Elephas maximus indicus: one gene and its partners. The protein of the gene in region 2 interacts with the protein of the main gene of each other region in a pairwise test. Links are inferred from orthologs where the notes say so. Each region holds a gene or a part of one and is shown on either strand. Other genes may lie near its edges.

Evidence for each region.
Region 1: the proteins of SDCBP2 (region 2) and PRPF38A interact in binary tests that used the Homo sapiens proteins (3 or more experiments, as listed by UniProt). The two-hybrid records come from large-scale screens. The link is inferred for Elephas maximus indicus from reciprocal best matches to the Homo sapiens genes SDCBP2 and PRPF38A.
Region 3: the proteins of SDCBP2 (region 2) and FAM133A interact in binary tests that used the Homo sapiens proteins (3 or more experiments, as listed by UniProt). The two-hybrid records come from large-scale screens. The link is inferred for Elephas maximus indicus from reciprocal best matches to the Homo sapiens genes SDCBP2 and FAM133A.
Region 4: the proteins of SDCBP2 (region 2) and YTHDC1 interact in binary tests that used the Homo sapiens proteins (3 or more experiments, as listed by UniProt). The two-hybrid records come from large-scale screens. The link is inferred for Elephas maximus indicus from reciprocal best matches to the Homo sapiens genes SDCBP2 and YTHDC1.

Annotation. Positions count from the first base shown.
Region 1 is NC_064821.1:95,523,915-95,532,044, forward strand, and holds the start of PRPF38A (pre-mRNA-splicing factor 38A), read left to right. Parts: upstream 1-4,770; 5' UTR 4,771-4,830; coding exon 4,831-4,960; intron 4,961-6,666; coding exon 6,667-6,826; intron 6,827-8,130. UniProt on the Homo sapiens protein: Involved in pre-mRNA splicing as a component of the spliceosome.
Region 2 is NC_064843.1:39,398,987-39,406,950, forward strand, and holds the start of SDCBP2 (syntenin-2), read right to left. Parts: upstream 3,186-7,964; 5' UTR 3,128-3,185; intron 154-3,127; exon of another isoform or gene 66-153; intron 1-65.
Region 3 is NC_064846.1:66,542,946-66,550,399, forward strand, and holds the start of FAM133A (protein FAM133A), read right to left. Parts: upstream 3,455-7,454; 5' UTR 3,436-3,454; intron 1-3,435. Other genes in the region: NAP1L3 (nucleosome assembly protein 1-like 3), read left to right, coding at 4,928-6,346.
Region 4 is NC_064823.1:90,889,955-90,897,520, forward strand, and holds the start of YTHDC1 (YTH domain-containing protein 1), read right to left. Parts: upstream 3,380-7,566; 5' UTR 3,024-3,379; coding exon 2,996-3,023; intron 1-2,995. UniProt on the Homo sapiens protein: Regulator of alternative splicing that specifically recognizes and binds N6-methyladenosine (m6A)-containing RNAs.

The DNA of each region.
Region 1 (8,130 bases), on a different chromosome or scaffold from region 2:
AACTGAAATCTACTAGATCTAATAATAATTCTGGCCCATTATCTTAAGCTTAAATAACTAAAAAAAAACAAAAAACAAAAAACCTTTCCTCTGAATTCAGTGTTTTTCTTATGGAGCTAAAATCTGGCAAAACTGGGGTTGAAAAAAAAAACTCAAAGAATTATTCTGAATTCCTATAGAAAGTCCATTAACACCAGTCTGTGTTGAAAACGACAGAGTTAGAACAGCCTATCAACATCCTAACTAAACAAGCTGGTTTCCTAAAGTTCAGTGGCATTATGTCTCACATTATTTTTGAGAACCTTGACTCACAGAAGATGTATGAACGATTGTTATTATGTACATTTATGTACAGTATAATTACAACACACTTCTATTAAAACCAAGCTAATTTTAATTAAGTACACTGTAGAAATAACAGATTGATGAGTAAAAACAGAATACTTGTGCTCAAGTAACAAATGAATTTGGATGCATAATATCCAATAATCTTTTGGTAACAATTAGTAAAAGTACTTGAATCTGAATAATTGTTCAAGGAAATACATAACTTATAGGGTCACTATGAGTTGGAATCGACTCAACGGCAATGGGTTTGGTTTAATGGATCATGTAACATGGAACGATCAGAAGTAAACTGGAACTCTTCACCTTTTCCACAGTGAAATCAAGCCAAATATGCTACGAGACACAAACGATTCAAGTAAATTGCAGTACCCACTAAGATCTCTCGTTAAAATGGGAAAATCGGAGAGTGTTTTGTAGCAAATTAGTATTTCCCAGCAAACTTTCTACAATTCTTAAATAATCTAATTGTAGGACAGTCTGATTTCACTGTCACAGTGATCTTATTTCAAACCAACAAACGGGCATACAGAAAGCTTGTCTCCATACCTATACCAAAAAAAAAAAAAAAAACCCCAGTGCTGTTGAGTCGATTCCGACTCATAGCGACCCTATAGGACAGAGTACAACTGCCCCATAGAGTTTCCAAGGAACACCTGGCGGATTTGAACTGCTGACCCTTTGGTTAGCAGCTGTAGCACTTAACCACTACACCACCAGGGTTTCCTCCATACTTATAAAGTACTCAAATTCATGTTCTCAACTGTTTTAAATCCAGGTTATATTGCAGTTTACCACAGCAGGTGTCCTCTTCCAAAAACTAAGGCAATATTCATTTTCTAGTAGACCATGGGCTGTGTGCAATGAGACCAGCCAGTATATGGGTGTATGTGTGAAAGGGTGGGTGATTGTCCCTAGGCTGAGCAGGTGACGAAGGGAGGCTAACTGGACTGTAGAACCTGCCTCCACCTCTGCCTGTCACTCAGCTTCAGGCCTCCTTTCCAAACCTCAAAAAGACCAAGGTTGTTACTCCTCTCAGATTTCTGCAGTTGCTATCATCTCTTCCTACACGTCTTTGCAGGGATGGCTCAAGTTTCAGCTCCAATGTCACTTCCTCAGAGAGGTCTTTGCTGACACCCGATCGAATGTTACGCACTGCCCCTCTTTATGCTATCCCCCGGGGATCATGTTCCATTATACAACCTTATTTTACTTTTCATCAAAGCAATAACCATTATGCTATTTTCTCTGCTTCCCACATTAGAATGTAACTTCCAAAGGAGCAGAGACCCTATCTTAAGTCATGACTGCATTCCCAGGGCCTAGGTCAGGACCTGGCACGTAGTAGGTAAAAGACTGACTGAATGAAATGAACTGGTTTTTAAAATCATCAGGAGGCCAAGCATCAGGAATGAAGGACATAGAGCAGCCGGAACTCTCATGCCCTGCTGGAAGAAGTGGGTATTGGTACAATCACTTTGGAAACTAGCAGCATCTACTAAAGCTGAACATACGCATCACCTGCGATTCAGCTGTTCCATTCCAAGGGATATACCCAACAAGAATACACACATATCATCAAAAGGCATAGACAAGAATATTCCTAGCAGCATTATACAGCCATGAAATTGAAGCAACTACAACTCCATGCAACTATGTGGGGGAAACCTCGGGAAATATAGTTGAGCTTAAGAAATAAGACACGAAAAGAATACAAACTATATTGGTTTTGTTTACGTAAAGCACAAAAACAGACAAAAGTCATCTGTGTTGTTAGAAGTGAGAAGAGAGGATAACCTAGGTAACTGAAAGGAGACATGGCAAGGCGACTTCTGGGATGCTGGTAATGTCGTTGCTTGATCTGGATGTTGGATCCGTGGGTATATTCTCTTTGAGAAAATACATTACCCTCTACATTTATGATTTGTGCACTTCCCCGAATATACCTTATTCTTCAGTGAAAAGCTCAAACGTTAGTAGTTCTTCTGAAGAAGCAGCATAAGGAAATCAGAGCCTCTTGTACCCCACTCTTAGACCAATCCAGCATTTCATCTCAGCACAGACATTCCCCAAGAGGGATGGTGGATGGAATAGGAAGACAGGCCTGACTTGGCCATGCAAAAGGCTTTGGCTTCTATAAGATAACCCACTACAGGCTCTGGATGTCACAGATACTGGAAATCTGGAAGACACACACCACTCAGTCCAGAGGCCACACCCAAGAAAAACAGATCATTGAGTTGCAGTAAAAACAATGATACCTAAAACCAAACCCATTGCCCCGTTGAGTCAGATCTAACTCATAGCAACCCTCTGCACAACAGAACGAAGCACTGCCAGTCCTGTGCCATCTGACAATCGTTGCTATGCTTAAGCTCACTGTTGCAGCCATTGTGTCAATCCATCTCCTCGAGGGGTCTCCCTTTTTTTCTATAACTCTCCACTTTAGGACAAAGTAGAACTGCCCCATAGGGTTTCCAAGGAGCAGCTGGTGGATTTGAACTACCCACCTTTTGTTTAGCAGCCAAGCTCTTAACCACTGTGCCACCAGGGCTCCAAAAAACAATGATAGCAGATATTTATTTCACCAATATGACAGAAGGCTGGGCCAAAGCTCTTGACACATTTATCTCATTTAATCCTCACAATAACCCTAGAACAATGCTGGTACACAGTAAGTGCACTGTTGGTGCTCAATAATAAATATTTGCTGAATGAAAGGTAGCTGCTATTATCACTTCCAAGGTATCCAATGTTATACAGAATGACAGAGCCTTAACTGACACTCTGAACATCCAGATTCCAGTGACTATGCTCTTAACCACTTCTCCTTACTGAGAAACTGGATAATGTCAATAACACATGCCAATGAGAGCTCACTTTTGGTATGTTTATTATAATAAGTTAGGTTTCCTAACCCATCGAGTGGCCAACTGAATCTCAATTTCTTTACCCACAAAATGAGGATAAATTTTTAAACACCCACTGTGTGCCAGGAACTATTCTACGATTGTTGAAGATTAAGTGAAATGCATAATGATAAATTCACTCCCCCACTCCCTTAATCCCCCTTCCATTTATTTGTAAGAGGCAATGGTTTTTTTTTTTGTTTTAATAATATCATGAGTGTTACAGAACTCACATACAGTTAACACAAAATTTTGCATTCCATTTAAGGGGATTCATAAACCTTTTAAAGTCCCAATACTGTCCTCTGTTACAGTTAAAAGCTGTTGCAGAGGGGTTTGGCTAACTATGCTCGCACATCCAAAACCTCCACTGGCACTCACAAGCACCCAACAAAACAAACAAAGGTCATTTTTTTACAGACAAGATAAAATTAACATATCCAATCACTGCGTTTCACAGATAGTAGCCCAGAAGAAAACAATGCTTTTTTTCCAGCTGACGCGTTTTGCCCTCTATTCCGGGATCAGCCTAGAATAATTGGGAAAAGCGCCATTAAAATTTTCTTCTGGAAAAAAAAAATGTGAATTAGAGCCCAGCAGTAAAGAGCAACTAATCCAGAAAAGACCTGGGTACTAAAAGCGACCCAGACTTAAAAATGTTTTTGTCTGGGCAAAATCGCTACATCCATAAAATGGGGTAATAACTTTTGCTGTTCCGCCTTCCCTGTAGTGCAACACTGAGGCTCAAAGCAGGAAACAGATGCGAGTGCATCACAAGGGGCAACATAGACGGAAGGAACAGTTCCGAGCATTGCTGAGAGTCCGAGGGCGCTGCTGTAGGCTTCCGGCTTCCCCAGTGCCAATTCTCAGTCCCTGGCGCAGCAGGAAGCATTTTAGGAGTTGGGATGGGGAAAAAGACGCCTTTTGCCGGGGTTAGAAAGGTGCCTGGCACTTAACGGGGGCTTAGTAAATGTCTGCTGAATGAATTAGTGAATATGTGAGTCTGTAGAGAACACCCTCAGTTCTAGCGGCTCAGGTCTGCCTCCAGCCCGCAGACTCACCCGGAGACCGAAGCTTCCTCAGGCTGGGCGCAAGCCCTCTGCTTCCCCCCGCCTCCGCTTCAGGAGCTCCTGGTGCTGCAGCAACTCTAAATTGCCCCAGCTGGACGCCTCCTCTTACAGCCACGAGGATCGCGACCAAGCCGAACGCCACCGGCAAAGCCGATGCCTCGCTAAGGACGGCAAGAAGAAGGTGGAGAAAAGAGAATTTCGCGCCAAACGACGTAGTCCCGCCCCCAGGCTGTCTCCGTGTTACGACACCAACCAGCTCTCCCGTCCCGCCTACGTAGATTGGACGCATGACGTACGTCTGCCGACGTGCAGCAGCCATCATTGGTTTGGGCGGGGTTTCTGTTCACGGAAGTTAGTTCCTTCCACATCAGAGTTTCCGGTTTCAAAATGGTCGCCTCGGAGAGTTAGTGATTTTTCCATCCCCATCGAGTTTTTTTTTTTTTTTTTTTAACCTGGATGTGACGTATTAAAGGACCCGACGGAAATAGAGCTGAAGGCTTTCTAAGATGGCGAACCGTACGGTGAAGGATGCACACAGCATCCACGGCACCAACCCTCAATATCTTGTGGAGAAGATCATTCGGACGCGAATTTATGAGTCCAAGTACTGGAAAGAGGAATGTTTTGGACTTACAGGTGAGCGGGAGCGCGCGCACCGCCTCGGCTGCTTGTGGCCCACCCCCCCTGGCTGGGCGCTGAATGGGATTGGCCCCTGGGGGCAAGACTGGCTCAGTGTTGGTGGGTAGGATTGGAGAGGAGTGTGTCATGAAAAGGAGCCCTGGTGGAGCAATGGTTAAGCGACAAGTTCGAACCCATCAGCCGCTCAGCGGGAGAAAAGATCTGGCGATCTGCTCCGTAAAGATTTCAGCCTAGGAAACCCTATGAGGGGCAGTTCTACTCTGCCCTATAGGGTTGTTATGAGTCAGAATCGACTTGACGGCCACGGAGCTTTTTTTTTTTTTTTTTTTTAACCATTAACGAGCTATCGCTTAAGAAATCAGACTGCAAGTTCTTTAGGATAAATTCTGTATTAATATATTCAGCATTATAGCTAAACAATTTATAGCTAGGCACTGTGCTGAGTACTAGAGATACAGGTATATGGATGAACAAGACAGACACAGTCAATACTATTAATGAGTTTATAACTTAGCAAGGCAGGAAGTATGAAAAACGAAAGTATGATGAGTAGTTTGAAAGAAGCAGCAGAACGCAATAGAAATGTACGACAAGGGAACCTAACCTAGCGTTGGGAAGGAAAAAAACCCACTGCCATCCAGTCAATTCTGACTCATAGCGACCCTAGGACAGAGTAGAACTGCCCCATAGCGTTTCCAAGGCTGTAAATTTTATGGAAGCAGACTGTCACATCTTTGGCCTGCCGAACGGCTGCTGGGTTTGAACCGTTAAACCTTTTGGTTAACCACTGCGCCACTAGGGCTCTGTTGGGAAGGGAAGTGGTTATGCTTTTCAGAAAAATCGGTCTTTTTGTTAGGAGCTGAGCTGCCTCACGTAGGTACTTAGCGTTTTATGTATATTATCGCATTCAATCCTCACTACAACCCAGTTGAGCTGACAGACTCAAAGAGAGATAAAATGACTGGCCTAAGATCACACCGCTATTGTTTGAGTATTGGCAACAGTGTTGGGAGGTTATTATTGCCATTCTGTGGGAGAGACTTACTCGAGGTTGTGTAGCTATTGAGTTTTTTTTTTTTTTTTAATTTTTAATCCAGCAATTTTTTCCCTAGCATGATGGTGATGAGCGTGGACTCTGAAGTTAGACCGCTTAGATTTAAATCCAGGCCCTGTAACTTTTTGGCTCTGGGCCTGGAGCAAGTCACTTAACCTTTCTTAGGCCTGAGTTTCCTTATCTAAAAGTAGAGAACAATGCTAGAACTTAGGTCATGGTTTGCTGTGAAGATTAAATGAGATAATATGAAATGCTTAGCAGAGCACTGGGCATATAGTAAGCCCTCAATTAGATGCTACTATTGTTATTTTTATGGAGCTCTGGTGGCACAGTGGTTAACAGCTATGGCTGCTAACCAAAAAGTCAGCAGTTAGAAGCCACCAGCTGCTCCTTGGAAACCCTGTGGGGCAGTTCTGCTCTGTTCTGTAGAATCGCTATGAGTCGGAATTGACTCAGCGGCACCAGGTTTAGTTTGGTTTTGGTGTTATTATTGTTATTAATATGCACTTGCTCTCCTAATACTAAACTGTTGGTGAGTGTTCTGGAGCACCAACACGTGAACTGACTTCTTTCCACTTCACACCAGGATAAGCTTAACCCTGAAGTATCTGAGATGGCACTTGATTTGTTTTTGTTTTTCTTTTTTTAGCTGAACTTGTAGTTGATAAAGCCATGGAGTTAAGGTTTGTGGGTGGCGTTTATGGCGGCAACATAAAGCCAACTCCCTTTCTGTGTTTGACCTTGAAGATGCTGCAGATTCAACCCGAGAAGGATATCATTGTAGAGTTTATCAAAAATGAAGATTTCAAGTGAGTGTGATGTTGACTGGCTAATACAAAAGCATCGTTTTGGACATCCCAGAATTGGACTTTGGTTAAGAGGAATGAACATAGTATCTCTCATTTCCACAGAGACTTCCGCTCCAGGGTTTTGCTCTTGAGTCCTTGGGTTTGTGTTTTGCCTGTTCTGATTGAATTGATATTCTCCTTTACTTTCTTAATCTTGGTAACTTCTCCCCCAAAAAAGAGGATTTCTTTACCAATTCACTGAACATACATTAAGCAGCAGTGAGGATCTAATGTGTTGGTAGGCACTGGATACTTTAGGGTGAAGAAAACAACATAGTATGGTAGATAAGAGAGAAAACCATGGTGTTAGACAGGTCTGAATTTTTATCTAGACTTTATCTCTAATTAACTGTGACCTCAAAGAAGTTGACGTAATTTTCTAAGCTTTATTTTCTTTGGAAACCCTGGTGGCGTAGTGGTTAAGTGCTACGGCTGCTAACCAAAGGGTCAGCAGTTCGAATCTGCCAGGCGCTCCTTGAAAACTCTATGGGGCAGTTCTACTCTGTCCTATGGGGTCGCTATGAGTCGGAATCGACTCGACAGCACTGGGTTTGGTTTGGTTTTGGTTTTATTTTCTTTATCTGTAAAATTCGGATAACAATACCTACTTGTAAGATTGATTTTAAAGAAGATAATGCATGTAAACCACTCAACACAGCATCTCTTACGGGATAAACACCCAGGAAATGTCAGCTGCTGTAATTGTTTATCATTCATCATCAAGGAGCTTACAGACTACTATATGAGACAGAAATCATAGCTTATTACATGCCATCCTCTAAGGGCTTTTACCCTCACAACATATAATAATAATTCATTTAGCCCTCACAACAGCCCTGTCAATAAATGTTATCCCTATTTTACAGATGAGGAAACTGAGGCACAGAGAGTTTAAGTAATATACCCAAGGCCAAACAGCTAGTAAGTGGCAAAGTTGCTTCAGAGTCTGTGTCTTTTGCTGTATTATTCTGCTTATTTAAGAAACAAATGGAATACAGCGTGTTAAGTATTTTTATAAGTGTATATAATATGCTATAAAAGAAGGAATGTGGGGAGAGGGGAGCATCTAAATCAGCCTGGGGTTTGGGATTCTCAGAGAAAGAAAGTGATTCATAAACTGAGTTTTGGAGGAGGAAGTGTAGAGTGATAAAGTTGGAGGCACAGAGGCGTGAAGAATACCATGTACCTCAGCTACAAGTAGTCCTGCGTGTTTTAATTAAGTCAAGTTGGCGCGTAGGATAGTAGCAAAGTCAATAGTGAGATTG
Region 2 (7,964 bases):
GGAGACCAGAGCACATCTCACTCATCCTAGCCCCAGCCAGTATAGGGGCAGGGCCCCAGTCTTACCTGCAGGCCAGGTGTTGCCGCACGTCCTCTGTCCTCCAGCAACTGCTGAGAGTATTCTTCCCCCCAGCAAGGTGGTGGCTCTTGTTGTCCCAGCTGGAGTTCCTGCTGGCTAATTGCTAGCTAAGAGCAGGGTGGTGCCCGCCCCTGATCAGCTGACTCATGGTAGAATGGCTGGCCACCCAGGAAAGGCAGAAGGGGTTTGACCTTTCTCTCAATTTGGAGGTGGGGTTAGTGCACGTAGCTATTGCTGAGACAGGTATGTACCAAGACTTCTTGGTCTTTTTTTTTTTTCGTGTGTTTTTAGTGAAAGTTTACACAGAAATTAGGTTCTCATTTAACAGTTTCTATACATATTGTTCAGTGACGTTTGTTATATTCTTCACAATAGATCAGCATCCTCATTTCCATTTTGCTTGTCATGTTTCCATTAATCTAGCCGCCCTGCCCCTCCCTTTGCCTTCTCATCTTGGTCCGGGTAAATGTTCACCATGTGGTTTCATCTAAACGATTGTTTTGAGAAGCACAGTACACATCGGTGATATTACGTATTTTATGGGCCAGTCTGTCATTTGAGTGAAAGATGACTTTTGGGAGTGGTTTGAGTTCCAAGTTTAAAGGGCATTTCTGGGTGATCCTCTCGAGGGTTCATCTATATCAATCCTTTCCATCTTGATTTTTTTTTTTTTTTAATGTAAGTGTTGTTTTCTTGAGGAGATCCAGACTTGAGTTGAAGACCAGTCTTGCTGAGAGTGGGGAAGGTGGTTAGGTGACAGGTATCCAGGGGTCTTTAAAGTGACCGTAACATGTGACCTGGCATTTCTTCTTCCACAAACCCATCTCCATGTTCCCTATAGTAGAAAAAAATCTGGAAATCCCAAACATCCATCACCAGGGTCCAGTTAAAGAAGTCATTATCTAGGACAATCCCACAGCTGTTAAAGTTGTTTAAGGAAGAAGCCTTGAGGAGATGTTCCCGAGTACTGTTAACTGACTGAAGAGTCCGTACTGGGAGTCTGGCCTTGTGTTTTGTTTTCCTTTTTTGAAAAGCGGATGTGCACTGAAACCAGTCTGGGGGAGTCTGCTGTAAAATGCTGAGGCAGTGGGGTTGTCGGTGGGGTTTCCAGTTTGTACTTTTGTGTGTGTTCCCAAGTGGTGGTGGTGTTGAAGTTAATTTGTGTATTGCTTTGATTGCTTATCATTTTTGTAATGAGTAGGGGGAGAAATTAAACTGGACTGCTTTTTAAAGGAATTTAGATTGCTTCTCTCCAGGGAGGCAACCTAAGGGGCTGTGTACTGGCGTAAGGAGATTTTTTATAGCACACTTTCTCAAATTTTGAAAAATAAAAAATTTGAATATATTATTTATCCCACAAATAGTTCCATAAAATTAACCAGAAAAGGGAGAGGGATTTCATTTAGACCCTGGTGGGGTGGGTTAGATAAGGTGCCTGTCACACTTGGTGCCTTGGGGAGGGACTAGGGAAACGTATGCTGGTCAGTCCTGTGAGGAGTGACACAGGCCACCCGCCCAGGGTGGGGTAAGTTTCAGGGCTGTTCACCTGGCTGGGCCTGGCAGGCCCACGTCACTGTCCCCATGACGAGCTTGGGCAGAATTACACTCGCCTGGGGCGTCAGATCCTGACCGGGGCCCAGCTGGTTGTCAGCCCCATGGAGGAGGGACACTGTCTTTGCTCTGAGGAGCTCACAGCTGAGAGCCCCACACACGAAACAACAGGAGCCACGACACACAACAGGAGGTTGCCACTAGCAGCACCGACTGCCCACAGAGCACCATGAGCCTGCCGGCAGCAGCTTTAAAGGTACCATCCCTGCCAAGTAGGTGTGATTAGCACCAGTCCTACAGGTGGAGAAACTGAGGCACAGAGAGGCAAAGTCCCTCTCTCAAGTTACACAGCTGGAAAATGGCCCCAAGGCCATGTTTTGTCTGCTGTGAGACAGATGCTACTTCCAAAAGCTGAGGCACGGGACACGCCTGAGGGACAAAGGCAAATGGGCCTGAAGCCTGAGGTAGGTCCAGGGCTTCGAACTGGTTCATTTTGGTTCAAATCCCTGCTGAGAATTTGCATTCCCACCGTAGATATACTGAATGAGAATCTACATTTTAGCAAGATCCCCAGGTGATTTTTACGTATAATAAATTTTGAGAACCGCTGCTCTACTAGTGGTTCTCAGAGTTGGTCCCTAGCCAGCAGCGTTAGCATTGCCTAGAAACTTATTAGAAATGCAAATTCTCAGCAGGGGTTCTGACTGGAAGGAACTGGTTTGAAGCCCTGGGTAGACCATGGGTGATGGACCCACCTTAGGCCAAGTCTCCAAGGCCAAAGCAAAGAAGGAAATAGAGAACCTAATGGAACCAAGTGGCCCCCTTGCCCCATCTCAGTTCATAGAGCCATGGGCTGGAAGGGCCTTTAGAGAAAATGGAGAAGGAAATGTAGGCCCAGAGGGGATAAGGGACTTGCCTGTGGAACTGACCCAAGTCCCCCAACTCTCACCTACATGCCAGGGCTATCTTTCTATTCTGTGGTTTTTATAGCTACGGCCCATCTCTTTGACTTCTCTCATCACTCCAGCCACCAAGAAACATCTTTCATTGCACATGCCCTTGCTCAGAAGTCTTTAATGGCTCCCTACTGCTTCAGGGCCAATACTAAACTCCTAGACCTGACCTTTGAGGCCTCTGTGGTCCACCCCTTTATTACCTCTTCAACCTTGTCCCTCTAACATCTCTACCCCTGCCAGGCCAGAGTCCTCCCTACTCCTACCCCACCTCGTACCCACAGCACACGCATTCCTGACTCCACCTTTGCCTGGGCTGCTGCCTCCCCTGAGGTGCGTTTCCTCATCCCTACCCCACCAAGTCCACTGGGCTCCCCTTCCAAGGAGCCTCCTTGATCATTCCCATCCATGGGACCTCTCCCGCTTCTGTGTTCTGGATCAGACTGTCCCATTCCTTTCTTTGATACAGCCATCTTGTATTGTTCATGTGTACATTAGGCTAATTGTTACACCCTAAGTTCCTTAAAAAAAAAAAAGTTCCTTACCATCCAAAAAAAACCCAGTTGCCATTGAGTCAATTCCAACTCATGGTGACCCCATGTGTGTACACAGAGCTGCGCTCCGTAGGGATTTCAGTGGCTGAGACCTTTTGGAAGCGGATCACCAGGCCTTTCTTCCGAGTGCTTCTGGGTAGGTTAGAACCTTCATTGGAACCTTCAACCTTTTGGTTAGTAGTCAAGCGCTTAACCATTTGTACCACCCAGGGACGTCTATAGTGGCTAAAAAAAAAAAAAAAAAAATTTTTTTTTTTTTTTAGCCTATTTCCAAAATAAAAATTGGAGCCCGTGCTCTGGGCAGGACATATTCTGCTTTGTTACTTATCTGTGGAACAGCCTTCAAAAGTCTAAAACATGAGTGGCCACCATACAACATACACTCAGAAACTCCCTAACAGCACCCATGACAGACCTGAGTATCCACCCAACATTACTTGCTGCTGGGCCCTGAGGTGGCCCAGAATCCTCTCACAATAATGCCACAGGCAGCTGCTGCCACCTGGAGTCAGCCCGTGCTATGAAATCTCTGTGCCATCTCGAATGGTTCCCCCCAGCAGGGCAGGGCCTTGGGTTTACCATGTATCCCTAGGACCTAGATCCGTGACCGGCACATGTAGGCTCTCAGTAATGTCTATTGAATGAATGCCTCTGCTAGAAGAGTCCATCATAGTTATAAATGTAATGGATAGCTGCCACTGAGTTGGCTTCGACTCCTGGCCACTCTGTGTACAACAGATAAGTAACAAAGCAGTAACAGAGCAAAATTGTGCCTGGTCCTGCATCATCTTCACAGTCATTGGCAAGTTTAAGGCCATCGTTGCAGCTACTGTGCCAATCCATCTCACCGAGGGTCTCCCCCACCCTTGCTGGTCCTCTACATCACCCAACATGATGTCCTCCTCCAGTGATTGATCCCTCCTGATGACATGTCCAAAGTAAGCTCACCCTTATGTAAAAGCTGGGCTAGGCTGTGGTGGTAGGCAGAGCAGAGTTCCAGATCTGTGACATTCCACAAGTTTGGGAACCTCTCTGAGCTTCAGTTTCCAGACCTCCACAGGGGACGGCTGCTACCTGATGTACGGGCTTGTCCTGGAGGTTAAACGAATGAATCACGTAAAGCACCTAAGACACAGCTGGTGCTCGATAATGTTTCTGACGTCCTCATACTATCAGTCTTGGCTACAAGTTACAGAAACGCAATTCATCTGTTTGATGTGAAAGTGGGGGTGCTCTTACCGGAAGAAGGTGGAATGGCTGCTGAGCAGAGAGACACCAGCTATACACTCCAACCCCCTGCGTGGAACCTGGACCAGGAGCAAGTCCAGGGCTGTGTCAGACAGCTGCATCCGGACCACAGGATAATAACAGGAAGAGCCCCATTTATCGGGCCCCTGATGCCTGCTGGGCTCTGCGGGGCAATGGGCACAGCCTGACCCGTCTGTTGTTCCCAGCTGGCCCTGGAATCAGACAGAAGCATCTTGCCCGAGTCCACACAGCCCCGGAGTGGTAGAGCCGACCTGGCTGTGGACTGATCGGAGTGTCTGGGCTCTCGGACTCTTTCCCATCCCCCTCTAGCGGAGTCCCAGAGATTTCCCAGGGTGGCAGCGAAGGCCCTGATGAGCCAAAATCAGAAGCCAGGGAGCTGGGACCCCACACTCCCACAGACTCATGTCCCTGGCCCGGAAGCACAGGCACTCGCCAGAGACCCCATACCATAAGAGGACTTTGTGCCACCCCATAGTATCCCAAAGCAATATTCTGAAGGGGAGGCAGCGTAGAGCCTGGGCTGCGGAGTCTCACCTGCCTGGGCCCAAATCCCCACACATAGGCCATGTGACCTTGGGCAAGCGACTTTCCTGCCCTGGGCCTCAGTTTCCTCACCTGTGAAAGGAGGAAAGTAATTTCACCTGGATCATGGGAATACTCACTAAATGTGAACTATTATTCTTACAACGGGCATTGTTCAAGTGGCAAAAAAAATCTGTTACTGCTGTGATCCAAGAGCAAACGGATAGAAATCGCCTGCTCCTTTCTGGGACGTACATCCTAGTTGGGCTGTTCCTGAGGGAGTCTGTAAATCTCCCAGCCACAGAGATGCTGCCCTGAGGAGAGACCCCCGTGATGTAGTGGTCATCAGCCAGCCCCTCACCACCTCCGTCCTCCTCCCCCTCGGAGCCTGTGCTTCTCCAGGTGTGGTTGTCCCGGCCGCCTGCAGCAGAGGCCCCTGGGGGACATGCTAAAAATGCAGATTCAGGGTCCCACCCTACACTTGTTGTATCCAGCTGTCTGGGAGTGGGGCCCAAGAACCTGCATTTGACTTGCCTCTGCAAATGATTCTGATGCAAACTGCAGTGTGAGAACAACTGCCCAGCTCCTCCTTCCAGACCCACTTTCTTGAATCAAATGCCTGCAAGGTGCTAGGCATGGGGCAAGAGGCTTTCCTCGTTTACCTTGTTTAATACTCAAAACATACCCAAAAGATGGTTGTGTTATCCCATGGGACAGATGAGAAACTGAGGCTCAAAGACTTAAGCTCTGTGTCCAAGATCACGCAGCTGGTAACCCATGGAAGCGGGATTCGAACCCAGAACCTGCCTGCTTTCTCCTGTGCAAATGTGTAATCTCCCCTAAATGTGGCCTGTGCCCCCCTCATTAGTCCAAGGCCTGGGTCTAGTTTTGGAATTCCGTGGTGAAAGTTGGTTGCTCCAGCCAGAATTTTTGGTCACGGGCATGGAGAAGCATGTAAACACCTGGGAGCAATGTGGGGTGAGAGGTCATCAGTTCAGAGGACACCCCTACAAGGAGTGTCTCAGCATCCAGGCCTGGGGAGGGTTCAGCCAGGGTTTGTGGCTGTGGGTCACTCAAGCAGGGAGCCCCCAGAGCCTGGGAGAGTCAGACAACCTGGCCTGGAGGCTTGGAGGCCCAGGTAGACACTGGTCATCCTGCTGACGCTCCAGGCTCTGGTCATGGCCTGCAGAGCTCTGTCCCAGGTGGCTCCAGGCCCTCCAGAATGGGTTGGGTCTCTGCCTGATTGGGTCATGGCTTCCTGCAAAGATTGGGCTGTGATTGGTGGAGCATGGGTCATGTGTGCAGGCCCTCACTGCAAAGCATGCTGGTAAAGCGAGCATTTGGCTTTAAGGGCTACTCTACTGGGAGCCTCTGGTGGAGGATTCCCCAGACATGAGAAGCGGGTTCAAAAACAGAGCAGCCAGTAAGAGTGGCAAATGTCCACTCTGACCAGGAATGGGTGGTGGAAGACCAGTTGCTGAGGGCCTACTATGTGCCAGGCATGGCCCCAGGTGATTGACATCTGTTAGTTTCAATCCCTACCTACAATAATAATGCCCAGTTTACAGATGAGAAAGCCGAGGCCCAGGGTCACACTGACAGTGAGTGGTAGGTTACAGAGTTGAACCCCAACCTGTCAGACTCCGGAGCCAGAGTTCCTGGCCACCATGACACACTTCACTGCACTTAGTTCCGGTGACTGGGACTTGCCCACACCACCAGACAGGCCACTTTCCTGTCCCCTGCCTCCTGCACACCTCCCAGGACAGAGCAGAACGACCTCTCAGGGCCCCGGGAGAGAAGCAGGGCAGCTATTATTACCACATTTTATAGAAGAAGCTGAAGTTCAGAGCGGGGAGGGACTTGTCTGGGGCTGGGATCTTCCCCTCCCCCCAGCTTCTCTCACCCACCCACCTGCTCTGCACCCCAATCTTGGCTGCTCTTTTTTTTTTTTAAATAATTTTTATTGTGCTTTAAGTGAAAGTTTACAAATCAAGTCATTCTGTCACATATAAGCTTATACACACCTTACTACATACTCCCATTTACTCTCCCCCTAATGAGTCTTTAATGAGTCAGCCCGCTCCCTTCTTCCAGTCTCTCCTTTCGTGACCGTTTTGCCAGTTTCTAACCCTCTCTACCATCCCATCTCCCCTTCAGACAGGAGATGCCAATACAGTCTCAAGTGTCCACCTGATACAAGTAGCTCACTCTTCATCAGCATCTCTCTCCAGCCCATTGTCCAGTCCCTTCCATGTCTGATGAGTTGTCTTCGGGAATGGTTCCTGTTCTGGGCCAGCAGAAGGTTTGGGGACCATGACTGCCGGGATTCTTCTAGTCTCAGTCAGACCATTAAGTCTGGTCTTTTTATGAGAATTTGGGGTCTATCCCACTGTTCTCCTGCTCCCTCAGGGGTTCTCTGTTGTGTCCCTGTCAGGGCAGTCATCAGTTGTAGCCGGGCACCATCTAGTTCTTCTGGTCTCATGATGATGTAAGTCTCTAGTTCATGTGGCCCTTTCTGTCTTGGGCTCGTAGTTATTGTGTGACCTTGGTGTTCTTCATTCTCCTTTGATCCAGATGGGTTGATACCAATTGATGCATCTTAGATGGCCGCTTGTTAGCATTTAAGACCTCAGATGCCACACTTCAAAGTGGGATGCAGAATGTTTTCATAATAGAGTTTATTATGCCAATTGACTTAGAAATCCCCTTAGGCCATAGTCCCCAAACCCCCGCCCTTGCTCCGCTGACCTTTGAAGCATTCAGTTTATCCCGGAAACTTCTTTGCTTTTGGTCCAGTCCAGTTGAGCTGACCTTCCCTGTATTGAATATTGTCCTTCCCTTCACCTAAAGTAGTTCTTATCTACTAACTAATCAGTAAATAACCCTCTCCCACCCTCCCTCCCTCCCCCGTCTCGTAACCGCAAAAGAATGTGTTCTTCTCAGTTTATACTCTTTCTCAAGAACTTATAATAGTGGTCTTATACAGTATTTGTCCTTTTGCATCTGACTAATTTCACTCAGCATAATGCCTTCC
Region 3 (7,454 bases), on a different chromosome or scaffold from region 2:
TATACCAACATATTCTGTGTGAAGCATCATCTCATGTAGTAATACGGACACTTAACCCCGAAATGAATATCAAAAAATAATGGAATAGAGAACATATCACTATGCAAGTAATTTATATATAACCTTATGAATAAAATAAGAACTACTGCTTATAAGATATTTACACCAGAAAATATATGACACAATGCAAAAATTAAATCCATTATATGAAGAAAAATTATTTTCTTTTAGAGACCTACCATTATAAAATTAAGTAAACTAATAAAACAAAAACAGCTACAAAAAATAAAAGCATGTTACTAGAGAGCCTAAAGCAGAACATGCACATGAAAAAATAGAGCATTGTAGTTGGACAAAGTCACCTATTTCCAACTATTTTCATTGTCTACAGCTAGAAAAAATAGTTCCAAATTGAATATCAGAATAGTTCAGTAAAATGTTATCTTTATATGTTTGTTTTATTTTTTTTTCTTCTTCCTGTCCTATTCCAAACTTTTCTAGTGTGAATGATAAAGTATTGTTCCTTGAAAATCATCCAAAAAAAAAAAAAACTCCAAGTAGATAACTTTAGAATGAAAGCTGTAGTTTAGTCACATTTGTCCAAGATTATCTAGTCAATTGGGATAAATTTTTAAGAAAAAAAAAATTGTCACTGTGACAGAGAGACCATTTTAGGGGGGCTACATTTCCTCAAATGTGTCAAAACAGAGATATTTTCTTGTAGTCATACTTGCCTTAAATCAAGGCCAAAATTATTTTGCTATTAGGATAGGATTTGGCCACCAATTAATTTCTTTTCTAATCCTGTAGAAAAACAAGCAAAGGGCATGGATAGACAATTCTCAAATAGACAATAAACACAGGAAAAGGCTTTTAATCTTACCACTAAGTTTTTGGGTAATGTAAGAATACAAATAAATAATAATGTGAAATTAATTTGGAGATGTTCATAAAAAAATGTGAATAGTAGTGATTACCTCATAGTATATTTTGGGCTACTTTTAATTTCTTCTTTGGATTTCAATGTTGTTGTTGTTGTGTGCTGTTAAGTCGATTCCAACTCATATCGACCTAGAGTTTCCAAGGCAGATTGCCACATCTTTCCCCTTGGGAGCAGCTGGTAGGTCTGAACTGCTGACCTTTTGGTTAACAGCTGAGTACTTTAATCACTGTCCCACCAGGGCTCCCTGGATTTCCATGTACTGCTTGATTTTTTTTTCAATAAGCCCATATCATATTCATAAAATACAAAATTATTTAAAAGCAAAATAAAATGGCTCATTAATTGTTTGCAGAAAAATTCTGGTCAATGGATCAAAATAGAGAATTCAGAAATAGACTCAAGCAATTTAGTTAATATGATAAAGGTGATATTTCAAATAAGGGGGGACAGAAAGATTATCAAATAAATGGTACTAAAAAAACTGGCTAATAAAAATAAATTTAAAAAAATGGATCACTAGCTTATTGCTTACTCCTAAACACTAATTCCTGATGGTACAAAACATTAAAGTACTATAAAAAAATAACAACACCCATTAACAAGATGCCCATTATTGTTAAAAGATGTTGATCATTTGACATGAAACTATATCCATTAATACATCCATAATTGATTAATAATCCATAATTAAATGAGTAGTTACAAAACATAATACATTGTTGTATACATAAACCAGTAAATGTAAATAGGTAGGTGTTTATATGCACAAAGAAATTTCTGGAAGAATATGTATCAAAATGCTAACAGTGCTTATTGTTCATTGGTCGTTAAGATTTATGTTTTTACACAACTTGACCAAGGTAAATGATGACACTAAGAAGTACAGAAGAATAAGGGACAATTTTGGTAAACGCCACGACGTATACAATTTTGCAACAACAGTAAAAATAACCAAAAAATATGTGTGTGGTTACATAGGTAGATACGTATGCTTATATATGTATAGGTAAGCACATATGAATATATCGGTGCGCATGTATAGGTATTTCTGTAGGCAAATGTATATATACGTTTGTGTGTGCTGCATATATATTCACATATAAAACAAAGCACGTTGGGGACACAGTTATGCATGCTTCCTAGACATAACCAAATACCTCGAGGAACTGAGTTACTGGGTTTGGCGAGTAGAGTCTGAGGTCTTAAAAGCTTGGCAGTGGCCATCTAAGATACAATTACAGTATGGTCTCTATGCATCTGGAGCAAAAAACAAAGAAGAAAACCAAAGACTCAAAGAAGAAACTAGTCTACAGGACTAATAGTCTACACGAGCCACAGCCTCACCTACCTTGGGACCAAGAGAACTAGATGGTGCCAGAAGAACTACCACTAACGACCACTCCCAACCAGGGACACAATAGATGGTCCCATATAGAGTATGAGAAAAATGTAGAACAAGACTCAAATTCCTAAAAAAGACCAGACTTACTGGACCAGTAGAGACTAGAGGAACCCCTGAGACTACCACCCTGGGATACCCTTTAAGTTTGGAACTCAAACCACTCCCAGTGGTGGCCTCTCAGCCAAAAGGCAGAGTGGCTCATAAAATAAATATCACCCGTGAGTACTGTGCTCCTCTAAACAATCATCTAAATGAGACCTAAAAGTCAACATTTACCTTAGACCAAAGATGAGAAGGGAGGGGGGACAGAAAAAGCTAATTAATGAAAACAGAACAACCAGAATGGAAATAGTGAGAATACTGACACATCGTGAAAAGTGTAACCAATATCACTGAATAGGAGCCCTGGTGGCACAGTGGTTCTGTTTGGCTGCTAACCACAAAGAACAACAGTTCAAATCTACCAGCCAGTCCTTGGAAACCCTATGGGGTGGATAGCTATGGGCAGGAATTGACTTGACGGCAATGGGTTTTGAAATAATATGTACAAAAACTGTTAAAGGAAAACCTAATTTGCTATGTAAATTTTCTCCAAAAACACAGTAAAATATATTTTTTAAAGGTTTGTGTTTTTACTATCACTGCAATTTTCTATACTGGATTTTTTTCTTTGTAATGGTCATATGCTTTGAAGATCAGAAATAAACAATAAAAGTTAATTCATTCACAAATTAGAAAATAAAAGCGTCCCCATAACTTCTGAATTATAAAGCACAAATCCTATAACAAAAAATACAAAGGTTAGTATAATTTTAATATTTCTCCTCATTCGAAATGAATAGTTTAGTATATTTTGTATTTTTATTTACTTATATTCTATGCCCACGTTTAGATAGTGAATATGGTTAAGGGTAATTTTCTACACTAGTATGCCAAATCACCACTATTTAATTTAGATTTTTCTGTTGCCATAGAAATATCAAGCCATCTTCCAATTCAGTCTTTAAAAGACTATATGCTCTGAATTTTTATTCAAATACAGATGGGTAATTCTTGTCATTCATAAATATGGGCTAAATATGTTCCTTACCTTTCAATGAAAAGTAAACAGTTCTTTTTAGTTGTACCAAGGGAGCTGTTCTGTAGCAGAAAATAATCCTGTAAATAGAAATAAGAGATACCTGTTTTTAAACTTCAGTTTGCAAGTTTATTCACATATTACTGGATATGTAAATTATAATCTGGCATGGCTAGAACTTTACAATGTTAGAAGAAAACTGGTGGTAGATGACACTGTAAAGTATACCCTGATAGAAGATGCACCTTCATTAGCACAAATCCCCTCTTCCATCCTGCTACTCGTGAAACTGAAACCTGCTGCACACAAGCATAAAGTAAACCTTTTGCTTTTTAGTAGTACTACCTGACATTTGAATACCCCTTTGTTTTATCTCCAAGGTTGTTGCAAGCTTTGAGAAGTGCTACCCGTGGCAAGTCAGCAGCAAGGTTGGGATATTATTACATGCCAGCTTTAACAGAAAAAAAAAATACAGTAAAAACGGTGTAACTGACTCACGGCATCATGGGTGCACAAACCTTGTAGCTGGATATAAACCAGGCTTGCCAAACATCACAACAGCACTTATTAAAACTGCTACGTGGAATGCAATATGCCTGCTATCTAGCCCCTCCCCCCTTTGCCAATAAGCGACTCCCCCCCCTTTTTATCAGTATACAAATACATGCTCATAAAACATTTATAATATAGAAAAACGCAAAGTAAAGAGCTGTTTAAAAAATCATCCACAGTCACGCTACCCAATGATGCCATTTGGAGTATTTTCTTCCAGTCAAAAAAAATTTAAACAGATTTTTGTCAGGAGGCCCGTGAAAAACCAAACGTAATTTCAGGTTGGTTGGATGGAGAGAAGGACACGTCTCTCCCCTTGTTAGGAACTATGGCTGATTGATATTTTTACCCCATGTCTAAGCTTTTTTTTCTGAATTATAAAACTATAAAGACAGCGTTTTGAGGAGGGAAAGAAAAGTCTTGCAAATAATATGTGCCTCAACCACCTAGGAGCGTCTGGGAAGGTGGGCGGAGCCGGGTGGGAAAAACGTTGGGTTTGGTCATTCATTGGGTCTAGAATTTGTCAATCAAGGTTTCCCAGCAAATGAAGTGCGAAATAAAGGCACACCGGGAACGAAATTAACGGGAGATCTGGCTGCAAAGGGAGGGGGCTTGAGATCGGAACCGAGAAGAGATCTTGGGGTCTCATTCTGCGCCATTCGGCTGCGGCACCGCCTCCGTCCACCGCAGCTGCAGCCAGGAGAGGCCTTGCCACCGCCGCTGTCGCCCAGGCCTCCTCCCCTGTCGCTGACACCTCATCGGGGGTCACTGCAGCCCCCGCCCCGCCTACCCGAGCGCTCCTGCTGCTGCCATCGCTGCTGCCACTTCCACAGCTCGGGCCTTCGCCGCTACCGCCGCCGCCGCCCAAGCATCCGTGAGTCATTTTCTACCCATCTCTGGGCGCGCGGTCTCTGCAGTAGTCGCCACCTTAAGAGGTTTGCAGCCTTGCAACATGGCGGACACCTGTTTAAAAAAGGTATCGGAACCTGCCGCCCAGGGGGTTGCTGAAGAGGTGATGGCTAGCTCGTCAAGAGATCCTGGGGAAGAATCTGACAGCAGCAGCACTAGTTGCAGCAGCACTAGTTGCAGCAGCAGCAGTAGCCACAGTCGCTCACATAAGAAGAAGAGGGTACCTGGGCCTTCCAGAAGGGTGCGGGGGGCTCGGTCGGGTAACCATTTCGTGGATAGGCTGCCGCAGGCAGTTAGAAATCGCGTGCAGGCACTCAAAAATATTCAGGATGAATGTGACAAGGTAGACGCCCTGTTCTTAAGGGCAATTCATGATCTTGAAAGAAAATATGCTGAACTCAATAAGCCTCTATGTGATAGGCGATTTCAAATCATCAATGCAGAATATGAACCTACAGAAGAAGAATGTGAATGGAATTCAGACGATGAAGTGTTCAGCAGTGATGAGGAGGTGGAGGATGACACCCCTAGTGAAATGCCTGCCCTAGAGGATGAAGAAGAAGATGAAGACCCTAAAGAAAAGCCTGAGGTAAAGGCTGAAGAAAAAGAAGTTCATAAAGAAATTCCTGAGGCAAAGACTGAAGAAAAAGTAGATTCTAAAGATATTCTGGAGGCAGAGCCTGCTGTCAAAGACGATCCTAATGAAGTCCCCCAGGCAAAGGCAGAAGAAAAAGAACAGCCTAAAGCAACAGAGGCAAAGGCAAGGACTGCAGTAAAAGAGGCTCCTAAAAGAGTTCCTGAGACAAGGCCTAAAGAAAGAATTAATCTTAAAAGAGCTCGTAGGGGAAAGCCTAAAAAAGAAGATCCTAAGGGCATTCCTGACTATTGGTTGACTGTTTTAAAGAATGTTGACAAGCTCGGGCCTATGATTCAGAAGTACGATGAGCCCATTCTGAAGTTCTTGTCAGATGTTAGCCTGAAGTTCTCAAAGCCTGGCCAGCCTATAAGTTACACATTTGAATTTCATTTTCTACCCAATCCCTACTTCAGAAATGAGGTGCTGACAAAGACATACATAATAAGGTCAAAACCAGATCACAGTGATCCCTTTTTCTCTTGGGGATGGGAAATTGAAGATTGCAAAGGCTGTAAGATCAATTGGAGAAGAGGAAAGGATGTTACCGTGAGAACTACCCGCAGACGTACAACTGCTACTGGAGAAGTTGAAATCCAGCCAAGACTGGTTCCCAATGCATCATTCTTCAATTTCTTCAGTCCTCCTGAGATTCCCCAAATCGGAAAGCTGGAACCACAAGAAGATGCTATCCTTGATGAGGACTTTGCAATTGGTCAAATTTTACATGATAATGTCATCCTGAAATCAATCTATTACTATACAGGAGAGGCCAGTGGTAGTTTTGAAGATGGTAAAGATTATGGAAACAGGAAATACCAAAAATAAAAATAAGGCTGTCAGATTGTTCAAGAACCACAAAACTTCAAGAAGAAGTGAAGCAGGTTTATATAGCCTTGGGAAAAAAAAAAACCTGCTCTATATCCTGAACATTAGTATTCCTTACAGTTGTGTTTTCGTATTTTCTTGGTAGTCTATTTAAAAATTGTCCAAAAAAGTGTCTAAGTATTTTGCTTATTCTATTTAGCCTGTTGTAGTTTAATATTCTTCAAAATATATAGACTGCTATCAGTTATCTAGAGCATGTTAGTTTGGTGCTACAGAGTATTGATTTTTGTGAAGTCCTTTTGTCATATTTCTGTTAGATTTCAGCTGTGAAAACTCAGAATTGTTAACTGAGAAATATTTGCTTGGAAAAAAAAGTTCCTGAAGCACCAATGCAAGTGTTTTTTTTTTTTTTTTTTTTTCTTCTGCCTGGAAGACTAAGGGTTTAAGTCTGCTTGTACTACTTGTGTCTTCATTACTTTGCGGTAGAAATACAGTGCTTATACTAAATAGAACAGTGCATTGTAAAACCTGACTGTTTGAAAAAAGATTAGCATACATTTAGGAATGCCCATCAATACCATATATAATATGACTGTGAGCTTGTTTATGTGACATAACGGTCTGCGAATAAATTGAATCATAATGAAATCATTGTTTTCCACTGACTGTTAATATAACATGTTTTTAAAAGTTTCCTCATAGTGTGTAATTGTAAAGTTACTGAACACATTTTCTTTGTAATATGTTCTACTTTGCCTTTCACTGAAAATGATCACTTTACATCATTTGATACTTTTTCATGTTCTTTTATTGCAACCTAAAATAAATAAATGTGAAATAAAGTGTTTCATGTTATAAAAATCTAGCATTTTCTCCTAATTATGAAAATGTGCTGGTTAGCATAGAAAAATTTGGAAAATACTGAGGAAAAGAAAAATAAAAAAAAAAGATGATTATTAACATTCTGATGTATTTCCCACATCTTAGATCTTTTATTGGAGGATATATATTCAAGTAATTGGAGAAGTATTGGACAGGATAGGAGGAAGGTGAGAGTGAGGAGGGGAGGGGTGGAAAAAGAAGAGAGGGAGGGAAGAAGAGAGGGAGT
Region 4 (7,566 bases), on a different chromosome or scaffold from region 2:
GTGGCAATGATCAAGTAAATGAGAACTCTCTACTGAGCTTCCTTATTTGTAAAGTAGGTTATTCCAGAACTCTTCCCATTTCAAATTTAAATAAACAATCCTGGCAGAAGTTGGGCAACTGACTAACTTACTAGTATGTGATATCACTACCTTCCAGCAACAGTTATTAAGTTTGCATATTTGGACTGCAATTTCATCGCTAAACCCATTTCTGAAATCAAAGATTTTTAAAACACCATCTGCCTTCCCTCCTCAGTGTGCATTACTGTACCTATTAACAGTTGATAAGTCTGTCCACCTTAACAGACAAAGAATGCTTGATGAGTACTGAGTTTTACTCATCCCGTATTTGGTTTATCTTACCCTACCACAACCACTGCCCACTCCCATTTACACCCATAAATTGTATTCAGCTCATAAATCATATTCTCACACATTAAATGTTGACTGAATTCTTACTGACTAAAATCACCTACTTTAATAATGGATTCTTCTAGTAATTGAAAACAGTCTCCATCACTTACCATGCAATCTTATTTTCACATTTCTTCTTGGTTTTTAAATTTCACCAACAAAGGGAGTGTGAATTTTTAAAAGATTTAGCTTAAAATAAAGTGCCACAACCTAATCAATGGAGTATTTTAAGACAGGGGCAATATTTTAATCATATTTCCACCAACTCCACTACCCAAGCGGCCAGCAGTACCAGCAGTCATTCAATGAGTATCAGTTAAATGAATGAATAAGTCTAGCACAGAGAACTGCAAAACAATAATCTCCCAAGAGCAACTTTTGGATTTCATGGAATACAGCAAAATAAAATAACAAAGAACCTAAATAAATTGGAGACAGACACAGAGTATCAGGGTTGCCAACTTTTACCTTACTAGAAAGATTGATAAGAAATTAAATACCATCTACATATATCTACAATTCATAGAATGGCACTGACACTTCACTTCTAATGAGGATCAACTCTCTGCTTTACTTTTCTCTTTTCAATCTCCAATCTAAGATATTTGTTATATGAATTTACACCTATCATCTTTCCTAGTATAACATAAAGAGAGAACACTGGAAAGATACTGTGGACAAGTTTATAAAATCTGCTAAAGGAATTTAGTCTTTGATTGAAGAATCGGATTTGAGAACAAGACAAACAATAAATCAGTGTTCTGTAAAGATAACTCTGCAGCAGTGGACCAGGCATGTGCTAGGGATGAGCAAAATAAGTCAGGAAGCCAAGCAGAGACATTTGTAGTTATCCAGGCATGGAGAGATTCAAGACTGAGCAAGGGTGCCAAAACAGAAAGATATAGGGCAGAAACTATGATTTTATGAACTGTTATATGTGGGCACTGCTCATTAACTCATTTAATCCCATGACTACCTGCCCTAGTATCCCCATTTTATAGGCAAAAAAATTATGGCTCACAAAAACTAGGTAATTTGCTCTAGGTTCCAACTAGGACTTGAATCAAGATTTGCCTGACTCCAACATCCTTATTCTTTTGATCACGAACTATTCATATTTTAAAATAACGGAATCTCTAAAGAGCCATGTGAAAGGAAAGAGCCTTACAGGAGATTTCATATATACAGAAAAGAGAAGTATTACTGTCATTTTATCCTATCTAGCAAAAATATACAAAATGTTATTATGCATACACTGTAGGGGGACACTTGGAAAGATGATCTGATTTGGTCTGGAGAGTGAGTCAGTTTTTGTTTTTGATATGTATTTGAAGGAAGGCAAACACACTATAGTCAAAGGCAAAAAAAAAAACAAAAAACACCCAGATTCAAGGAGTGAGATTATTTACTGCACAAGGAAAACAGGGGCAGAGAAACAAAGACAGCATTCAGATAAGTAAATAAACTATCTTCGACAACTGAGAGACTGCACTTTAGGAACCATTTACTGTTACATGATCACTGAAGCACGAAGACTTTCCTAATGTAGGAACAAGAAAAATCAAAGAGGATCACAGGCCTAATACAACTGACTCTGAAGTCAATTTTTAAAAGCCCCCACACCAAATAATTAGCCACACAATAGACACAGACCACCACCTGTGCCACATTTTCATCAATTATAACCTTTCCAAGACTATCATAGTAATCTTAAAAGTTGAAAAAGACCTTAAGGTTACCAACTAATCCAGACCCGTCTCCAAACAGGTATTGATTCAGGATCTACATTAACACTTTCAGGGTCTGGGAGCTCGGTATATCAAAAAAAAAATTCTATTCTGGCAGTATCAGTTCTTCCTATATTTCACTGAAATTTTATCCCCCGAATTCTCCATAACTTCCACCCATTTGTTCCTAACTGTGCCCTCTCAGAGATACGCACAATGTGTTTCTATCAAAGTAATGTCCAGGATTTCCTGACCAGCCCTAATCCTAATTATCTTTTTTAAAAAACCCTATTTCCCAAAATAAGCGCTCGAAGAACAGAACGTGCAGTTCATGCCACTCTGCTTATTTAACAGAACACCCAGAAGTTAGTTGTAGACACTTCTCAGGATTAATAATCCACTTGTACGACTTCTTATACGTGCTCATTTACTAAACTACCGGTTTTGATCATAGCATAAGGGATTTTCGAAATTCAGCCTAACAGAAAGCGTTGTTCTGAATCTACGCATTATATCCGCATAATCCTACCAGGAAATAAACCTAGAGGCCTGCAACTTCTAATAGGCCAGCTAAATCTCCTTCAGCCCCTCCCAGGACAGCTAAATAGAAAATGAAGAGGGGAATCTGGATCAAAGAAAACCCCTAGGCGGGATGGAAAGTTAGGCCACACGAAGACCGAGGACGAAAGGTTAGGCCTATTACTTTCCATCGAGTCCCAGTATCTGGGTGCGGCGACTGGTTCCGCGCGAGGCAGGTTAACCTCCCCAACCCCCACCTCCGCCCCGCAACGACCAAGGCCCCATCTTCCCACTCCCGAGTCCCGCCTCCGCCCGTCACCTTTCTCCTCACTAACCTTTCTCCTCCCGGCTGTCGGCCGCCATTGCTCCCCTCCTGTTTCCGCTGCTGCTGCCGCCGCCACCGCCGCTTCGACGCGACTCGCGCGGGCGCCGCAGCCGCGGCAACAGTAGCACGGGCCCGTCCGTCAGTCCGTCCGCCGGGCCGCGCGCTTCGCACCTTGGCCTCTCCCACTCACCCTTCTCGACTCACCCTTTTTCTCCCCTTTCCCCCTTTCTCCTCTCACGCCAGGCTCCTGTGGCCTAGACCCAGCCTTCCCGATAGGGCTTGGGGACGGGAGGGGGAAAAGAGGAGGGAAAGGAAACAGATGGCGACGGCGGGCGGCGCTAAAATGGAGCCTGCTTCCTGCGTGAAACAATCCCGCTCCCGAAATGCCCTTCGCTGTTTACGCTTCGTTCCTGTCTGGGAACGTCACAGTGCGGAGAGGGGCGGAGCGGCGAGACGGGGAAGGGAAGTAGCGGGACGTCACCACGTCGCCCCGCCCCCCGCAGCCCCGTCGTCTTCGTAAAGAGTCTTATTGCGGGGGCTTAGGTTAGCCAGGTTGAGGGCCGTGTTCACCGCTCAGTTGCGTAGCTTCTCAACCGAAACGCATAGTGGAGGCTGTGGCGCTGTAACGTGTCCGTTTTGTCGTCCCAAATCGTCCCGCAGTACTCCCAATTTAGTGCTGGAAATCAGAATCCTGTTTAGAACAAGTCCAGGCTGGCTCCTCTGAAGCCACCACTTTTTCTGTGTATGAGATGTTTTTCTTAAGGCCCCCAGGTTTACCCAAAGGCATCGCAGGGAATGCAGCTCTCTTGCCAAAAAATCATAGTTTTTGTTTGTTTTTAAATTGGGGGAAGGAATTATACCGTATTTTAATATAACTTTGTTAATGCACATAACAAATTTGTATTAATCATTTACGCCCTGAGGTACACAGTTGATTAAACAGACCATTGAGGAATCGAAACTACAAAAGTGGCTGAAAATTACATAGCTACATAATGTAGTAAAATCTATGAAAGAAATTATGAGTTCAAAGGAGTGAAAATATAATTTGGCTTCACTGCAAAGTAAGTTCACAAGGTAAAGAAAATTTGAAAAAGAGGTAACATTATGATATAATGACTAATACCATGTTCAGAGTCCTTGGGTGTTGAACACAGTTAAGTACTCAACTACTAAGTAAAAGATTGGTGGTTCAAACCCACCAAGAGGTACCCTGGAAGAAAGGCCTGGCTGTCTACTTCCAGAAGGTCACAGCTTTGAAAACCCTGTGGACAGGGATTCTGATCTGATACACATGGAGTCACCGTGAGTCGGAATCATCTAGACTAACTGCTTCCAAAAACCACTGGTTCAGCTTGGTTTAGTTTCACGTTCACAAAAGGACAAGCAGTCCACAGTTTGTTATTACTTGATGCCCAATATAAAGAATTATGACCAATCTAAGGGAACAGTGGTGGTTCAGTGGTAGAATTCTTGCCTTCCAGGCAGGAGACAGGTTTGATTCCTGGCCAATGCACCTCACGTGCAGACATCACCTGCCTGTCAGTAGAGGCTTGTGTGTCGACATGATACGGAACAGGTTTCAGAGGAGCTTCCAGACTAAGATGGACAAGGAAGAAAGGCATGCTGATCTGCTTCCAAATATCAGCCAATGGATTACAATGATCTGATCCTGTTCTGCACTAGGTTACCATGAGTTGGGGGCCGACCCAATGGTAGCTAACAACAATCTTTCGTATCCTTGTAAATGGGAATTGAAAACTTATTCTCAAAGAGTTACTGTAATGTTTTCCAAGGATTAGAAAAATTCAATTAAGTGTTCAATGTTGTTATTGTTAGATACCGTCCAGTTGGTTCTGACTCAGTGACCTTTTGTACAACTGAACGAAACACTGCCAGCTCTTGTGCCATCCTCACAATCTTTGCTATGCTTGAGTTCATTGTTGCAGCCACTGTGTTCATCTATCTCCTTGAGGGTCTTCCTCTTTTTCGCTGACCCTCTACTTTACCAAGCATGATGTCCTTCTCCAGGGATTGGTCCCTCCTGATAATGTGTCCAAAGTACATGCCTGAGATGAAGTCTTAATCATTGTCAACTTCAAGGAGTGCTCTGGCTGTATTTCTTCCAAGACAGACTTGTTCATTCTGGCAGTACATGGTATATTCAATATTCATTGCCAATACTGTAATTCAAAGACATTAATTCTTCTTCAGTCTTCCTTATTCATAGTGCAGCTTTCACATGCATATGAGGCAAATGAAAATATCATGGCTTTTTTGGGGGGTCAGGCACACCTTAACCCTCAGGACAACATCTTTGCTTTTCAACACTTTAAAGAGGGCAAATTTGCCCAATGCAATCGTAGTTTGATTTCTTGACTTCTTCTATGGTTGTTGATTGTGGATCCAAGTAAAATGATATCCTTGGCAGCTTCCATCTTTTCTTCGTTTATCATGATGCTGCTTATTGATTCAGTTGTGGGATTTTTGTTTTCTTTAAGTTTGGGTGTAATCCATACTGACCTTTGATCTTCATCACTAAATACTTCAAGTCCTCTTCGCTTTCTGCAGCTAGGTCGTGTCATCTGCATATCAGAGGTGTTGAATCTTCCTCCAATCCTCAAACAAATAGTGCTGGAACAATTAGATATCCATTGGAAATAAATGACCATGAACTCTACCTAACACCATATGCAAAAAATTAATTCAAAATGGATCATAAACCTAAATATAAAAGAACAACTATAAAGCTTCTACAACAAAAGATGAGAGAAAATCTTCAACACTTTAAAGTAGGCGAAGATTTCTTATATAAGATGTAAAAATCATTAACCATAAAATAAATTGATAAAATTGGATTTCATTAAAGTTAAAAGCATCATCTCAATCAATCAATCAAATAATAAGGGAAGTCACTGACTGGGAAAACATATTCACAAAACATTTGTCTGACAAAGGATTTCTAGAATATAAATAAAGGTCCTGCACCTCAATATTAAGAAAACAAACATTCCATTTTAAAAGAAATAGCCAAAATAGTTAAACAGGTATTTTAACCACAGAAGATACGTAAATAGGCAATTACCATGTGACAACAATGCTCAACATCATCAGGAATTTAAACCACAATGAAGTGATTAAAGAAGATTAGAAATACCAAATGTTGGCAAGAATATGGAGCAGTTGGAATGCTCATCTATTGCTGGTGGGAATGTAAAATGGTACGACCACTTTGGAAAATCGTTTGGCAGCTACGTATGAAGCTAACATACACTTGTCATGTTGTTGTTGTTAGGTGTCATTGAATCATTTCTGATTCATAGCAACCCTATCAAGAACAGGATGAAATACCACCCGTCCTGCGCTATCCTCACAATCGTTGCTGTGCTTGGCCTTTGCCGTGGTAACTCTTAGGAAGTAAACTCTCTTAATTCATAGCTAGCCCCTGCATCCCTTCAGAGTTACACAGGAATTTCTAGACCTCTTCCACACAATGGAAAACCAAGGGACACTCTCTTAGGCTCTATCGGCCTAAACATGTTGTTGTTGCTGTTACATGCCATAATTAAAAAAAACTCAAACCAGTTGCCTTTGATTCCATTCTGACTCGTAGTGACTCCATGTGTACAGAGTAAAACTGCTCCATAGGGTTTTCAAAGCTGTGACCTTTCAGAAGCAGATCACTAGGCCTTTCTTCCCAGGCAATTCTGGGAAGTAGTTGAGTGCTTAACTGTCTGCACCAGCCAGGGACTCCCATATTGATGATTACTGTTGTTGTTAGGTGCCATCAAGGTGGTTCTGACTTATACCCACCCTATATACAACGGAACGAAACACTGCCTGGTCCTGTGCCATCCTCACAACCATTGCTATGCTTGAACCCATCATTGCATCCACTGTGTCAATCCATCTCAATGAGTGTCTTCCTTTCTTTTACTGACCCTCTACTCTACCAAGCATGATGTCCTTCTGCAAGGACTGATCTCTCCTGAAAACATGTCCAAAGTACGTGAGATGAAATCTCACCATTCTTGCTTCTAAGGAACATTCTGGCTGACGATTACTACTACATATGAATTGTTTTTGCAGAGTCACCATTAATCGTAGTTTGATGATAAACCTGAAGAAGGCTAAGATCATGTACCAGTATAATGCTACATTACTTTCACTAAGCTGCGTGAACTAAGTGACAGTCTTAAGAAATTTGCTTTTTCCCGTTTTATTCCCTTTGCAATCACTTTGGGTACAATGTCTAATATCTCTGACTTTTTTTTTAATGACTTGGCTAAAACAAGTTCTGTACATATATATTTAGGCTCAGTTATCTACCTCACAAATGGATGTGTGACTTGGTCTTCAGAAAGACAGGATGAGTGCATGGCTGCACGTTTAGAAGAAAGTAACAAATCATGTGGACGAAGGGGCATTAGCATCATTTTTGCACACAGAAAATAGCATGCTTTATAGATGCAAGCAATGATGTCAGTGATCCAGTACTAAAGAAAAAGTGTTTTATTCCTTTAGAGGGAAAATAACATCATATCGGTCAGTTCCCGATCAATTGTGTCTATTATACAAAGT